Kluyveromyces lactis: one gene and its partners. The protein of the gene in region 5 binds, or shares a complex with, the protein of the main gene of each other region. Links are inferred from orthologs where the notes say so. Each region holds a gene or a part of one and is shown on either strand. Other genes may lie near its edges. The genes, in order: CDC11, SHS1, CDC3, CDC12 and BNI5.

Region 1 (2,995 bases), on a different chromosome or scaffold from region 5:
TTTGATGCCCACTCTCGGTCAAGATAGATTCTGGATGGAATTGCACACCTTCCACAGTGTATTTCTTATGTCTCACACCCATAATAATTCCAGTCTCCGTTCTTGCACTAACTTCAAGCACATCAGGAAGTGTTTCCTTGGCGCCAGCAAGCGAATGGTACCGCGTCACTGCGACACCTTGAGGTACTTTTCTAAAGAAACCTTTTCCATCATGGAATATTGGTGAAGTCTTACCATGAACAATTTCTCCAGCAAAGCTAACTTCACCGCCAAAGACATCAAACATACATTGCTGACCCATGCAGACACCAAACACAGGGACTTTGCCGCAGAAGAATGCGATACAGTCTCTTGATATCCCGGAATCGGTCTCTGGATGACCTGGACCCGGTGAAATCATGACAATATCAGGGTTCAATGCTTCAACTTCTTCCACAGTAATCTTATCATTTCTGAAAACTAAAACTTCAGCACCCTCAGTGCAAAGATATTCATAGATGTTCCAGGTGAACGAATCGTAGTTATCGATCAAAACAACTCTTTTAGCGGACATGATATCAAATTAATGCGAAAACCTAGTTCCTTTTTATCACAGTATAGTGTAGTTGCCCTACTAGATAATTATCAACCAAATATAACCAATCGATAAGAAATTATCGAAAGTTTCTTCTTACAATTATTTCAATGCCCTTTAAGGGTTCCTTTAAATATAAAATCGTCTTGAACATGAGATGATTAACTGGTTCCACATCACAATTCGAGATGAGTCAAGAGAAAGCTTTGATGAAATGAGAAATTGAATCGAATTTCGTCCTAAATGATAAATATGTATGTGATGTACGGATGTGTCAACATTCAAATCCACATTCTTAAGGCAATTGTGCATCGCTGGATTGATTATTCCGTAATCTGACTTCCAAGTAACAATCTATAACCTCTGTTCAATTAGCTGAGCCCCTCTATCATCCATCAAATGCTCTTTCACCGTCGAATACCTACTCTTTCTCTGTTTCCTCCATACTAAATTCCAGATTCCTCAGAGTAACGAATTTAGAATCAGATCGGAAACGTGAAACTTTAAACAAACAACTAACACGTAAACAACACAATTAACAGAAGAGCTGCTCAGAGGTCTTATTAGCACCTAATTTCTGTCGGGGTATTGAATTGGGAAACAAAAGCACTGCTACAATTGTAATTTAGACAGAAATGGCAAGTATTATTCAGGCATCTGCCGCTTTGCGTAAACGGAAGAACTTGAAGAGAGGAATTCAGTTCACGGTGATGGTTGTTGGTCAGTCTGGGTGCGGTAGGTCGACGTTCATTAACACTCTATGTGGACAGAAAGTGGTAGATACTTCTACCACGATTATGTTACCAACGGACACAAATACGCAGATTGATGTGCAATTGAGGGAAGAAATCGTTGAGTTAGAAGACGAAGAAGGTCTTAAGATCCAATTGAATATCATTGATACTCCGGGATTCGGCGACTCTTTGGATAATTCTCCATCGTTTGACATTATCTCTGATTACATTCGTCACCAGTACGATGAAATTTTGTTGGAAGAGAGCCGTGTAAGGAGAAATCCTCGGTTTAAAGATGGTAGGGTGCATTGTTGTTTATATTTGATCAATCCTACTGGACATGGATTGAAAGAGATTGACGTGGAATTCATCAGAAGACTAGGTACTCTAGTGAACGTGATCCCCGTTATCAGTAAAGCAGATTCCTTGACCGCTGAAGAGTTGAAATTGAACAAGAAATTGATCGCAAAGGATATCGACTATTATTCGCTACCTATCTACAACTTCCCATTCGATGAGGAAGACGCGTCAGACGAAGATTATCAAACAAACACATATCTCAGAGGTTTACTGCCCTTCTCTATCATCGGTTCCAACGATGTGTTTGAATCTGCAGACGGGTCCGTGATTCGTGGTAGAAAATATCCATGGGGAACCCTTGACGTCGAGGATGCTAACATCTCTGATTTCGTCGTCCTAAGGAACACTCTACTCATTTCACATTTACACGATATGAAGGAATTTACTCATGAGATCCTATACGAAAGATACAGAACTGAAGCCTTGTCCGGTGAGATGCCAACTGTAGGAACTACGACTCATAACAGAGCTTTCAGCACCACGAACAACGAATACCTAGGATCACCCGCTGTATCTGGTAGAGAATCTGTGAGGGGCAATGGATTACCATCTGCGTTGGGGAACAATGATTCGACTTCTTTACATTCTAACAACGCGTCATCGAACCAGGACACTTACTTGGCAAGAGAAGAACAAATCAAGCTAGAAGAAGAAAGATTAAGGGTTTTCGAAGAAAGAGTGCAACAAGAATTGCAATTGAAGAGACAGGAATTGCTGCAAAGAGAGCAAGAATTAAGAGAAATCGAAGAGAGGCTAGAAAAGGAAGCCCAATTGAAACAGGAAGGAATCAAATTGGAACAATAAGTTGTTGTCCCTTCCTGCACACTAAATAGAACTACATATTTCGTTTCTTTCTTTAACCTATACCTCAGTTATTACCATAAGATAGATAAAGCATTACGAACCATTTCAGGCTACTGGCTGCTAGTCGTGTGCTACACTTTATCGATGCCCTAACGATCAAGCAAAACCTCATTCATTTAAGAAAAAAATTCCCGAACGAAAACCATATAAAAGCCACTTACTTCGAGGCCGAAAATAAGACGAAAAAGACGGTAGAAGGATGGCTTCTGAGCACCAAATGGGTAGTACCAGGGGTACCAGGGATACCAGGTGTACCATGACCTAGTAAATCTCCTTTACATTATCTCACACAGCATGCCAGGAGGCGTGTGCCGTGTTCTGACAAGAAAACATCATGTATGAAGATGTGGGATGGAAAAGCTTTTAGATGATGAGTAACCAGATAGGGACAACAGATATTCGTTTAAGTGACGAGGAAAGTCTTTTAATTGCCCAGTTTTTAGTAGAGCTTGGGCGCACTCTG
Region 2 (3,572 bases), on a different chromosome or scaffold from region 5:
TTACGTCTGGGGGCAAGCACGGGCGATTCCCTAGCAGACGCAGTGGTACTTTTCCCTGGCCTCCTCAACGGTGTTATTAACCCCGTTGTCTTGTCGTAGACTTTGTCGATGTTGAAAGATAATACCTGCCATAGAGGATCGTCCACGTTATCCCGTATCTTCCAGTTGTTCTCATCCAACTTCAAAAAATACCGATTGTACGGGCTCACGTCATAACTTAGCAATATCTCTTTCAATATCTGTTGAAATCGCTGAAACAATTCGATATTTGATTTGGGTACGTTCGATTGTTCATCTAAGGGTACGATTGTCACTAGAGCATCGTAAAGTTGTGAGAGACTTTGGAAATATTGCATATGACGTTCGTCCAAGGGTTTCAGCGATATAGGAGATTGCTGATTCGGACTAATCGTGGAATTCAATAGCTCGGGAAGCTCCAAGACTTCTCCGTTGGATATCAATTGGTAACCCTTGATCAAAAATACGTCGAGCTTGATCTGATGATGCATGATGCCTGTCGGACTACTATGTGAAGTGCTCCCGATATCAGACATGGCTCTTCCAGTATGTGTACGTAGCAGGGGAGGGCCGATCTTTGAAGTCCGTAACAAGCAGTTCAAAGACCTTAAGTATGCTGCCGCTTCCGCAGATTTTCTCGCTTACTGTGTATTTCTTTCTCTCTTTCTCTCTATCTTTCGTTTCGTTAAGGTGCAACATTTCCACATTGCATCACCTTATGTTCTAGCAAGAACTAAAAGCGACAAAATTGCAAAACAAAGACGCATCTCATTGAACACATAGAGCCCTTCTGCAAGGGCTAAAATCCGAAGCCTTTCATATGTAGACCAAGGCAGTACCAAAGCTAGCCGGACCTAGATCGAAGATCGTTATCAACTTATAACGTAATCCACTGACGGACATATACATTCACATCACTGAGACAGAAATATAAGTCACGTGAAGAAGTGGCGCCATATATATGTATATATGCCTTAGTTCCCCAATACATAGACTAGTTACGATATGTGGTTCATCGAACTGTAACCATTTGATGTTCCCATGTCACTGGTAACTTTTGTCCTTGCCTTAGGTATCTTTGAGTGTCTCATTTCCCATGGCTATGTTCGAGCCTTTTAATCGGTGAAAAGTTTCGAAACGGTTAATATCACGTAAAAGATATCAATTCCATATTTAAATTTAGACGAGAATGTAATTTGACTGAAACAACAACGTCTTTTGATAAAAAAAGTGTATTCTATACGTTGCAGAGCTACATTAATCAAGTGAACCATTGAACGAGACGAGTTTCAATCAATTGGATAGGAATCATTGTACTTTGGCGATTCTATTTAGAATATAATTGGAAGTGAAAAGTGAAGCCGTTTGATCTTGGAAGCAATAAAAAGATGTCCGCTAGTCCTGTATCTCAGGTATTCTCACCAAGCAACAATGGGGTCAGTGTGTTCCGTAGAAAGAAGGAGAAGAGAGGTATTACTTTCTCGATGATGTTGGTTGGTGCTTCTGGTACTGGTAAGACCACTTTCGCTAACAATTTATTGGAATCTACCATTTTCCCTCATAGATATCAACAAGATGTTCCAGCTAGCACGAATAACGAGAATGTTAAGATTATCCAACCAACTAAGGTTGTCACGTTCAATTCGATGAACGGTATTCCCAGCTACATGTCGGCATTTGATCCAGCCTCGCCGTTTTTGGAACCAGGTATCACTGTGACGTCTACTGCCCTGGAGATCACGACGAAATCTAGTGAGGATATCGATAGCGCTACCCCTGAAAAGATCAATTTCTTTCTCACCGACACCCTGGGACTGGGTGAAAACTTAAATAATGGGATCTGTTTCGATGAGATTGCTTCATATTTGGAGCAACAATTTGATTCGGTACTCGCTGAGGAGACCAGAATCAAGAGAAATCCAAGGTTCCAGGATACAAGAGTTCATGTCGCGTTATACTTTATTGAACCCACGGGACATGGGTTACGTGAATTGGATGTTGAAATTATGAAGAGACTATCCCGCTACACAAATGTTCTACCAATTGTCGCTAGAGCAGATTCGTTCACACCTGATGAATTGACTAGGTTCAAGAAGAGAATTATGGAAGACATTGATAGATTTAACGTTCCTATCTACAAATTCGAAGTTGACGAAAATGAGGATGATCTAGAAACAATTGAAGAGAACAAGGCATTAGCGAGACTTCAGCCGTTTGCTATTATCTGCGCCGACCAACGCGATAATGCTACCGGTAAATACTATCGTGAGTATCCATGGGGTAAAATTGACATCGATAATGAAAACATTTCGGACTTGAAATTGTTGAAAAGGGTTCTCTTCGGGTCCCATTTGCAAGAGTTTAAGGACACGACACAAAATCTGTTGTATGAAAACTACCGTGCTGAGAAATTGGCGTCTGTGCCAGCCTGGGACATTGAAAACAACGAAGTTATAGATACTTCTATCAATGACGAAAACAATGAGGGTAATTCTTCAGGGTTGATGAAAGGGTTGACTAGAAACAGTACAGCTCCATCCTTGTCAAATTTCGCCTCTCTAATAAATACAGGAAAGTTTAAGTCTCAACAATCACTTGCAATTCCACCTCAATCTGAAACCCCATCTACACCACGTCTAACCGGGGTAGATGAAGGAGATGAGTCTCGCGCTTCAATCTCTGCCAGTTCACAGAAATCTACTCCTGCCAATATTCAAACTTCTCCAGAAAGAACAAAGTTACGGAATATTTCCGAAAATATCCCATACATGCTTCAGCACGAGCGCATAGTAGCAAGGAAACAAAAGCTTGAAGAATTGGAGGCACAATCTGCCAAAGAGTTACAAAAGAGAATTCAAGAACTTGAAAGAAAGGCTATTGAATTGAAGATGAAGGAAAAGCTACTAAGACAAAACTCACATAGTCAATCTCAAGAATCTATCCAGACTAATACAACTAAACAAAATTCAACTTCTGGAGGTGCTTACATTAAGAAAGAGGAAACCTATAACGATTTAGCTTCGATAATCAGCAAAAAAGAATGAATTCAGTCTTGATATCTTTCTTTGGCATTTTTGTAAGTCGAAGTGTTTGGTTCCTGAAACGATTTCATATGTAATTTAAACAATATTGATTATTTTGTATATTGCAAACGGTCACGTCTAGATTGATCTGCTACCTGTTTCCAAATTTGATGAGTTTAAGATGGTGATGTAAAAATCAGAAAAATATACGTACTGTTACAGGTATATATATATATATAATATAATAATGAGTTAAGGTATTTTCGTGCCACTTATCAATAAATGGAATTTATCTGTTCAGATGACATAGTATTATGAGATAAAAAAGATTGGTGAAAAATTTATGTTCATCCAGTGCTTCAAGATAAAAAATAGCTAGTGTAACTGGAGAGAACTAAGAAAACCGAAAAATGCAAAATAATGTTCCCGATGGCAATTAAAAACATCAAGAAACAACATTCATTCAGCGACGATGAGAAAAGGCACTGGGGGAAATAATAGGAAAAGAGATTTAACCGAATTGAAAAATGG
Region 3 (3,415 bases), about 330 kb from region 5:
ATATAAGTATTTCGAGAGATTTATGCTGAACGCTTACATATTATCATACTGAGTTGCACTTACTACATCCACATACATATTTCTTTACCTTTATTGACTTTCCTTTTTTTTTTTCCCTCTTGGGCTTTAGTAAAAGAGTCGAGTACAGCAGTAATCTCTCAACGACCGAAAGCGACAGAAAAAAGGCAAGTCGAAATCTCCCTACTAAACTGTGCGAATTACCTTGATTTAACCGCATTAACAGACCCACAAAATTTACGTTAGTTGTGTCGCAGCTAGCTGGGCACTTAACCGTTTTGCTTTGTTACATGTACTGTATGGTGATGCATTACACTCGTTGACATTGTGTTGATTAGTTAGCTTCAGCTGGCTTAGTTATTGAGATTCGTAGTTATACATTTAGATAAAAGATAGACGGATGTAAAGAAAATAAAGACATGTCTGGAGATCTTGTGAAATACAGATGAAGTTCACGAAGACTATACTATATTTATCATCTTACTCATTTCTTAACGTAAGAAGCCTTTCTTCTTAGCAGGAATTGGAGAGCTTGTTGGTTGGTTAGCAAGGGAAAGTTCAAGTTGACGCTTCTTTTCTTCTAACGCTTTTAGTTGGCTTGTAAGCTTATCCTTCAATTCCTTGTGTCTAGCGAACAATTCAGCTTCAGATTTCTGTAACTTCTTTTCCTTTTCTTCAACTTTCTGTTGGAATACTGCCTTCATTTCAGCTTCCAATTTAGCTAGTTTGACTTCGTGTAGTTGTTTTTCCTCCTTTTGTCTAGTTTCTGGATCGAAATTCTTGAAGACACTGTTGTCTTGTTTGATACCCAATCCTAATAGCTTTTCAGATCTATATTTTTCGTATAATACTTTGTTAGTCCTTTCGCGTAATTCTTCCAAGTATTGTCTAATTAATAGATCTCTTAAATATACAAAATCAGAATGTTTTGTGTTGTCAACTTCGATGACACCCCATGGGTAAGCCCTACCTCTAACTTTTCTACCGTCTTCTGTAGTGACTTGTTCAGTGGAACCGACAATGGCAAAAGGAATCTTTTCAAAGATGTTTTCAGTTGAAGTTTCATCTCCCAGCATAGAATATTGAGGTGGTTCAAACAACTGCACGTTGGCTTGTTCTAGTTGTTTCTTGATGGTGGCTTTGAAAGTGACAATTTCTTCGTCAGTTAAGATGTCAGATTTGGCGATAACGGGGATCAAGTTACATTTGGAATGAACCTGCTTGCAGAATTCCAAATCCAACGGCTTCAAACCATGACCAGTAGGTTCGATAAAGTAGAGACAAGCATGAATCCTGTTATCTTGCAAAGTAGTTCTTTGAATCTTGTTTTCAGACTCGAGATATTGGTCGAATCTACGATTTATTTCATCCACAATTGGCTTCCATGAATCTGTGTTATCAATAGAATCACCAAATCCTGGTGCATCAACCACGGTCAATTGCAATTTCACTCCATTTTCTTCGATTTCAGCTGAAACGGTTTCGATCTTGACTTTGTTTTCTTCTGCTGGACCGTTTTCACCATTTTCCTTCTTGACACTGACATCGTTGCCATTACCATCACCCAAATCTAAAGACTGTACTCCATGGGATAGAGCGTCTTGCTCGTACAACTCTCTGTTGAACAACGTATTTATCAACGTAGATTTACCCAACCCTTTGTAACCAACACATAACAAATTCAGGTTGAATCCACGACGAATTGACTTTCTATGCCATTGTTTGGGTAAATTAGCAAAGCCCACGTATCCATTGATGATACGACGAACAACCTTGAGGTTTGGCTGATCGGGCAAAACTTGGCCCAATGTACCATTTGATTCTTGCACAGCTGGCGCGATTTCATCACCATTTGCATCTGAAAAAGTCTGCTCAACATTGTTGTCTTGATTCACGCTGTCCAATCCAGTAGCTACGGAGTCCTCATGCTTCAATGAAATAGCTTCTGACTTGACTGTATCGTTAATAACTTCTGCCATTGTGGATAATAATATTTTCCAGTTTTCTTTCACACACTGCTATGGTTGTTGGCTAGCCTGATATTCAATGCACTCCTAAACCGAGGCTTTTAAACAACTTTCAAAGTAAGACTTGACACCTGTGTATGCTGTTGATCCAGATCAAAACCGAATTTACGTGTATAAAATTATAAATAATAAACCAGATAATCTACTCGATTTAAATTTCTATATTTGTGGTTTAGGTTTTAAATCGCGTTCTTTGTAAATTTCTTCGAGACATCGATCTGTCAATATAGAAAAGGAAGAAAAGAAGCAAAAATAAGATACTGAATAGGCACAGAAATAAGAAGTACATACAGACGTAAAACTACTTTAAGCAAGTCTCCTTTAGTTGATTTGGCTTCAATATCATCTGCCCTATTTTTGGATGTATATATTGGCTAGTATTTACGGCCTTTGTCTTTTTCTTTCAGTGTAGAGTCCATTGCAATGGAACGGTATTCAAGCAAGGTGTTTTAGATTCGAGGCGTAAGAATTCCTAAGTCACGTGTCAACAGTTACCCGGTTATTGTAAATTTACACAAGTTTTAAATCAATCACGTGATTTGGATTCACCGGTTTGATTTCTTTGATAACGACATGTATTTTAAGCAATTGCGCAATGCGATGAATATTACGCGTCTCTGTGCATTATTTAAATTGTTTGCGTGTTTTAATGATTGCTGCTGTTAGCAATCACACACTGCAAATCAATTGTTTAACAATTTCAGTCCATTATCGTAGAATTGAATCTAAAATGTCGGACAAGTTTGATAAATTATTGACAGAAGGAGCCAAGCACTATGCTGGTAAGAATTATGAACTTGCAGTCGATTCTTATGCAGATTTAAATCAATTGTATGACAGTGAGAATGAGAATCCAAACCCTGAATATTTGTTTTTGTATGGTAAGGCATTGTACCAATTGGCTTTGAGCAGGTCTGATGTCTTTGGTATGGGATCTAATGTTAAGAGGGATGAACATAACGAAGAACAAGACGAAGATGATTCTGCCTCGAAAGGACCTGGGCTGATTCAATTTGGTGAAGAAGAAGAAGAAGAAGAGGAGGAGGAAGAGGAAGAGGAAGAGGAAGAGGAAGAGGAGGAGGAGGAGGAGGAGGAGGAAGAGGAAGAGGAAGAACAAAAACAAGATCAGGAGCAAGAGGAAGAAGATCAAGTCGAAGGCCAAGAGGAAGTTGACAAAGATGATTTCGAAAACGCATGGGAGATTCTAGAGCTTGCAAGGTCATACTATGAATCCAGTTTGAAAGAAACACCAGACAACGAGGATCTAAAATTAAAACTATCTGAATGTTATGACCTGTTGGGTGAAGTCTCACTAGAATGCGAAAATTTCTCTCAGGCTTCTCATGATTTCGAAGAATGTTTGAAATTAA
Region 4 (3,067 bases), on a different chromosome or scaffold from region 5:
CCTTGCATTCTCGCGAGGGCCCAACGATGGGCATTCTGCAAGAGTATGCTCTTGTAAACCGAAATCTGACGGGTTTATAGAGAATGATTCGACGGTACCATTCAAGGTCACATGCCAAACAATAGTGTTCCCTACAGGTGATACTTCATCGAGACCAACTTCACCCCAAACGACGAATGTTTCACTGTCAGGATAGATAAGTCTTGCTGCTTCTGCATACTCAGGTGCCAATTCCTTGGAGAAGACACCTAGAACTCTTTTTTGAACATGGGATACAGGATGCAATAACGGTCCCAAGACATTAAATATTGTTGGGATACCCAATGCTTTCCTGAGCAGAGCGACATGTTTCATACCGTCATGGAAATAAGGAGCCAATAGAAATGTGAACGAATTTTCATCCCAAATTTTAGGTAAAGTCGACGCAGTCACCTTAGATGAATCACAACCTAAAACTCCGATCAAATCACCAGCACCTGAATTGGAAGTCGATGCTTTCCCACCATGTTTACAAACCTTCAAGCCTGGGATGCCCGAAGCGACAATGGCTGCAGAAGTAGACACGTTAAAAGTGTTTTGGCCGTCACCACCTGTACCGACGATATCTAAGACAATATCATCAGTATGAGTCAAGGTCGTTGAATCGACAACAGTTGAAAACTTCAACACAGCCGAGGCAGCAGCTGCAATATATTCAGCTTTGTGATCCAATCCAGTTGCTCTCAACACTGAAAGGAAAGAGGCAATCGGTACCACAGCTTCCACAGTAAATTCCTTCGATAGCGTATCAATTATGTAAACGATAACTTCGTGCAATTCTGCAGGAGTCAAACTAGGCGGGCTCTTCAAAAGCTTCTTCGTAAAGGAAATAATACTCATAGTTACAAAATGTAGAAGCTGGTAACACAGCGATACCTTAAAGGTAGGAAGGCACTACTTAGCAGTGAGAGTAGATTTGCCGTTATTTAACGCAAAGTGATTATCTTTCTATGTACCAGTTTGATATATGTTAATGACTATATAGATCCACGGTTCGAGAAATAACAGAATATACATTGGAAAGCACGTGACTCGCTTCTCATTACCCTACCCTTCTTTGCTCGAGAGATCTCTGAAATGTTCCTGGGAACCTAGGATTCCTCGACACGAAACAATTCGAAACTTTGTTCAAATATAGAATACTGGCTAAAACAAGCCTATATTAAAATTGAAATTGGAATTACAGTTTGTTTACAGGAGTTATCGTAGCTACCTGCAGTAACAATCTGACCTTCTGTTCATTAGCAAATATAACATTGTGTGCTTCAGCAAAAGATAGTATAATTGGTACCAATTAATTGCAACGGAACTTTGAAACAATGACCACGGAAGAATTTGTAGGAATCTCGAATTTACCAAATCAGATCTACAAGCTGGTATCCAAACAAGGTGGAGTATTCACCTTGTTAACATGCGGTGAAAGTGGTTTGGGTAAAACTACCTTCATAAATACGTTGTTCCAGGCAACATTGAAGCCATCTGACTCCCATACAGGCCGTTCGATGCAAGGGCCAATTAGGAAGACCGTGGAGATTGATATATTACGTGCAGAACTAGAGGAGAAGAATTTTACCTTGAAGGTGAATGTAATTGATACTCCCGGGTTTGGTGACAACATCAATAACGATAAATCGTGGCAACAGATCATTGATTTTATAGACGATCAACACGATTCCTATATGCGTCAAGAACAACAACCATACAGAGATGTGAAATTTGATCTAAGAGTACACGCTGTACTGTACTTTATCAGACCTACAGGACATGGTTTGAAACCATTGGATATTGAAACTATGAAGAGGATCAGCACTCGTGCTAACTTAATTCCCGTAATCGCCAAGGCTGATACTTTGACAAGTCAGGAATTACAAGATTTCAAGCTTAGAATTAGACAGGTCATTGAGGCACAAGAGATTCGTATCTTTACACCACCTTTGAATGAGACACAGGATGATGCAGCCGCTATGGAACATGCTAGACAACTAATTGAATCCATGCCATTTGCAATTGTTGGTTCAGAAGAACAATTCGATAACGGTAGTGGTACCAAAGTTGTTGCAAGAAAATATCCATGGGGGTTAGTGGAAGTAGAGAATGATCAACACTGTGATTTCCGCAAATTGAGATCGTTGTTGTTGAGAACAAATCTGTTAGATCTTGTCTTATCCACTCAAGAGCTACATTACGAAACCTATAGGAGATTACGTTTGGAATCTCATTTGAATGGATCGTCTAACGATAACGAACTAGGAGAAAAATCGGCGAACAACTTCGTTGCTGCACCAGCAAGAAAATTATCACATAATCCAAAGTTCAAAGAAGAAGAAAACGCACTAAAAAAATACTTCACTGATCAAGTTAAGGCCGAAGAACAAAGATTCAGACAGTGGGAACAAAACATTGTGAATGAAAGAATTAAACTGAACGGTGATTTGGAAAAGATTCAAGCCGAAGTAAAGAAATTAGAAGATCAAGTGGCCACATTGAAATTAAGAAAACGCTAGGGTGTAATGGTTCGAAATTGTTTTTTTCATTCCCATTTATATTCCTTTTAACAACCCAATTTTTATGTTATTTTCCATTCTCACATTATTCTCATTGAATAATGCCATTTCTGAACCTTGTAGAACGATGTCCACACAGTTGTTATTTTAAACTACTTTCTATTGATCTTTCCTATATATCAATATAAGCTGTAAAGATGATATGTTATCATTATTTATTCTTTTTTTCTCTACTCGGAAGGGAGAGTATAGAAGATATTGGACTAGCGGTGGAAAGGTGAGCCTTATAGACTAATGAAAGAAAATCTTCCTCCTGCTGAGAAACTAGGAACAAACATAAATTTCAATTAAAGGAGTAGTCGCGATGATATTTATATATAAGATATAGACATAATATCAAAGCTTTGATATGGGAATCTCACCAAATTTATCAATGTGTATCTATTCTAATTCAGTGATGTACTTTTCAGCATCCAAAGCAGCCATACAACCGGAACCAGCAGATGTGATTGCTTGTCTGTATC
Region 5 (2,707 bases):
TTTATATGCATATAGTTTATGTGATGGAATGGGAACAGGTTTACCTGGCTTCGAACTGGACCATTCTCTTGGTTCTGGCCTTGAGTAGGATACGGTGACCGCAATTCTTGCAACGGACGGGATCAGTTCTGGAAAGCGAAAGTCTGCTTGAACACTCTGCGCAGATGTATTTCAAAGTGGCAGTTCTGCTCTGAGCTGCACCAGCAGCAGCAGCATCTAAATTCGTTGGGATTTGGAAACCTTCACGGGACATCTTGACACTTACTCTTAAACTATTGGGGCCACAAACGCACTCACTGACTCGACTATCGGAGGATAACTCTCGTATCCGAGACAGTATGTTTCAGTCAAAGCTTCTGATTCCTATGATGAGCTTGTCAATTCAAATTTCTTACTAAGGTCAGAAGAATTTCTTTTGGAAATACACGGTAGGGTAATACTTAAAGGATGCATAGAAATACACACACATTTATATAGACACGAATGAACGTATGTATGTATGTAGTACGAGATTTCCAGGTTACGACCTTCCTACCCAAAATTGGCCATTGGCCCCCATATCTACGTTTTTCCTTATTTGACGGGATAATATTACACCTGTATCGTAACGTTGTTTGTTTTTCTTGTCGAGGTATTCTTGCAATTTTTCGATGGCAGTGATCAGTTTGCGTCTGTCTTCGAGCGTTAAGGTACTTTCGTTTTTAAATTTGTGGAGGTAATCGATTTCTTTTTGTAGTTTGGTACATTTGACCGAGAGTGAGTTGTAATTTTGCTGTAATTGTTCAAAGTTTATGTCTGAAATATCTGAGGAAGTGCTTGAGACCCTAGAGCTGTTTCTCGATGCGTTACGGGAGCTTGGTTGGCTACCAACATGTACTACGCGGAACGGGTTGCTCTTCGGCGTGAGTATACGTGGTGAAGTAGGTATGTTGCTTGAGTCAGTGTTTGGTGCACGAGGGACGGTTCCGTTCTGAGTATGGCCGATTGCTGCAGGAGCAGGGTATGTACTTGATTTATCAGTGTTAGGTACAATCGTAGCTGCTGCTGCTGCTTCATCCTCTTCTGTGCTGGTGGAGACTTCGATCTTCTCAGAAGGTATTCTCTTCGCTGGAACAGAGGTTACGGAAACAGCGGGAATAGCTTTCTCAGCAGTTGGTTCAGTTTGTACTTCTGCCACCACTTCTGCCACTACTGCTGCCTCTAATTGAGTACCTGGTTTCTCCTCTTTTATGTCTTCTCGCTCTTCCGCTTGTAGTGCCGTCTCTCTGCCACTACTTAGTGTTTCCGGTACCTCGTCCTCCCCATCGCTTTTAATAGCATTCTGCACAAATTGATCAACCTGGTTCGCCGTTAGCTTCTGCAACTCTAAGTAATCCTCATCTTGATCGTCAGAAGAAACATCCTGTTTCGTCTTAACCGTGGTCTCATGAATGCTCAAGTTCTTATCTATCATCTCGTTCATCTCACTTATCTCTAACTCAATTTGAGACATTCGTTTCTTTACCTGCTCTGAATCCATAATTGAAAAAAATAGGACGCCACTATCAACAATGTGACACTTTTATTCTGCCACTGATACGCTTCAACTCGTCAACTACTAGTACAAACGCCTTTTATTAACACATACACGTATTGGTGACTGGAAGTTTCCTTTTTCCTTTGTTTATATTGTTTAGTTTTTGAATTTTTTCACAGTATGGCAGTTTATATGTAAATAAGAAAAGAGACTTAGATCCCAATTTTAAGGAAACCTGCATATTTCTCCTTCTTCTCTTCAACTTGACACATTTTTTGGGTACTATATTGGTATCTTGAAGGTGGTATTCAAGGTACTTCAGGATTGCCGTATAAATATATAATTGCTGGCAGATATACCTATTAAAAGTGAGTGGAAAGGTTTTTCTTTTTGTTTCAATTTTACTGAGTATAGATCTTCCAGAGAAGAGTCATTGCATGACTAGAAAACACCGTTATGAATAGATTTCGATCGAGATATGGCCAAAACAATCAGGATTCTAGATCTAACGCAGATGATCAGAACACGTTAATGTCTTTCCCGCATTCTACACCAGGGGAAATGGAATCTGTGTTTTCTGAATCAAGTACCATTGGAGATTTCGAACGGCTGGGTTTTGTGAATCGAAGCCCTCGATTTGCCAGTAATAGAACCGTTATATTTGCTTCAGTTATGCTTTCTAAGGGTTTTTTTGCGTGGGAAAATCAAGACACGTTTGATACATTTATTTCCAACCGTAGGAAACTTGATAAATGCTTAGATTCCGGTAAAGGGTGGCCATTATTTCATTACGTTTCTGTAGGGTTCAAATCATATTTCAGGAAAAGCACCCCAGTGTCCAAAATTTACAAATACAAGGTGGTTGATAACGATAAAGTCGATGATATCAAGGAGCCCAATAAAGAGCTTCTTCATCAAAACGAGAAAAGGTCTCTTTTCAAAGTTGAATTTTGTAACGTTTTCCGGAACGTTATCAATAGTGAAGGGATTGTATACCATAAATTCGTGTGCTTCCAACCTGATGGGATCAGATGCTCAGTTTTGATGATGAATAGCATTGGACGAAGGAACACTGATTGTCAAGTCTATGAACCTATTACTGATTCCTTATTGAATCTCAGATGGATTGGAACAACAGGATATACGTCTGTCTTTGGTGCAAACGATTTGAAATTGGTGATCTTGGATGAT

What was found.
Region 1: BNI5 (region 5) and CDC11 share a complex: the UniProt entries of both Saccharomyces cerevisiae proteins name them as parts of the GIN4 complex. The link is inferred for Kluyveromyces lactis from reciprocal best matches to the Saccharomyces cerevisiae genes BNI5 and CDC11.
Region 2: BNI5 (region 5) and SHS1 share a complex: the UniProt entries of both Saccharomyces cerevisiae proteins name them as parts of the GIN4 complex. The link is inferred for Kluyveromyces lactis from reciprocal best matches to the Saccharomyces cerevisiae genes BNI5 and SHS1.
Region 3: BNI5 (region 5) and CDC3 share a complex: the UniProt entries of both Saccharomyces cerevisiae proteins name them as parts of the GIN4 complex. The link is inferred for Kluyveromyces lactis from reciprocal best matches to the Saccharomyces cerevisiae genes BNI5 and CDC3.
Region 4: BNI5 (region 5) and CDC12 share a complex: the UniProt entries of both Saccharomyces cerevisiae proteins name them as parts of the GIN4 complex. The link is inferred for Kluyveromyces lactis from reciprocal best matches to the Saccharomyces cerevisiae genes BNI5 and CDC12.

The regions. Positions count from the first base shown.
Region 1 is NC_006038.1:1,258,284-1,261,278, reverse strand, and holds CDC11 (septin CDC11), read left to right. Parts: upstream 1-1,209; coding exon 1,210-2,472; downstream 2,473-2,995. Other genes in the region: TRP3 (bifunctional anthranilate synthase/indole-3-glycerol-phosphate synthase), read right to left, coding at 1-553. UniProt on the Saccharomyces cerevisiae protein: Septins are GTPases involved in cytokinesis that assemble early in the cell cycle as a patch at the incipient bud site and form a ring approximate 15 minutes before bud emergence, which transforms into an hour-glass shaped collar of cortical filaments that spans both sides of the mother-bud neck.
Region 2 is NC_006042.1:1,938,283-1,941,854, forward strand, and holds SHS1 (septin SHS1), read left to right. Parts: upstream 1-1,406; coding exon 1,407-3,062; downstream 3,063-3,572. Other genes in the region: GCR2 (Gcr2p), read right to left, coding at 1-554. UniProt on the Saccharomyces cerevisiae protein: Septins are GTPases involved in cytokinesis that assemble early in the cell cycle as a patch at the incipient bud site and form a ring approximately 15 minutes before bud emergence, which transforms into an hour-glass shaped collar of cortical filaments that spans both sides of the mother-bud neck.
Region 3 is NC_006040.1:348,282-351,696, forward strand, and holds CDC3 (septin CDC3), read right to left. Parts: upstream 1,998-3,415; coding exon 510-1,997; downstream 1-509. Other genes in the region: HIF1 (Hif1p), read left to right, coding at 2,695-3,415. UniProt on the Saccharomyces cerevisiae protein: Septins are GTPases involved in cytokinesis that assemble early in the cell cycle as a patch at the incipient bud site and form a ring approximate 15 minutes before bud emergence, which transforms into an hour-glass shaped collar of cortical filaments that spans both sides of the mother-bud neck.
Region 4 is NC_006041.1:1,924,703-1,927,769, forward strand, and holds CDC12 (septin CDC12), read left to right. Parts: upstream 1-1,358; coding exon 1,359-2,543; downstream 2,544-3,067. Other genes in the region: TRP4 (anthranilate phosphoribosyltransferase), read right to left, coding at 1-879; KLLA0_E21605g (thioredoxin-disulfide reductase), read right to left, coding at 2,985-3,067. UniProt on the Saccharomyces cerevisiae protein: Septins are GTPases involved in cytokinesis that assemble early in the cell cycle as a patch at the incipient bud site and form a ring approximate 15 minutes before bud emergence, which transforms into an hour-glass shaped collar of cortical filaments that spans both sides of the mother-bud neck.
Region 5 is NC_006040.1:682,544-685,250, reverse strand, and holds BNI5 (Bni5p), read right to left. Parts: upstream 1,520-2,707; coding exon 521-1,519; downstream 1-520. Other genes in the region: DNA-directed RNA polymerase core subunit RPC10, read right to left, coding at 41-253; KLLA0_D07964g (uncharacterized protein), read left to right, coding at 1,973-2,707. UniProt on the Saccharomyces cerevisiae protein: Required for normal septin function and cytokinesis. Its recruitment to the bud neck by CDCd11 and SHS1 ensures efficient localization at the bud neck of MYO1, the type II myosin of the actomyosin contractile ring.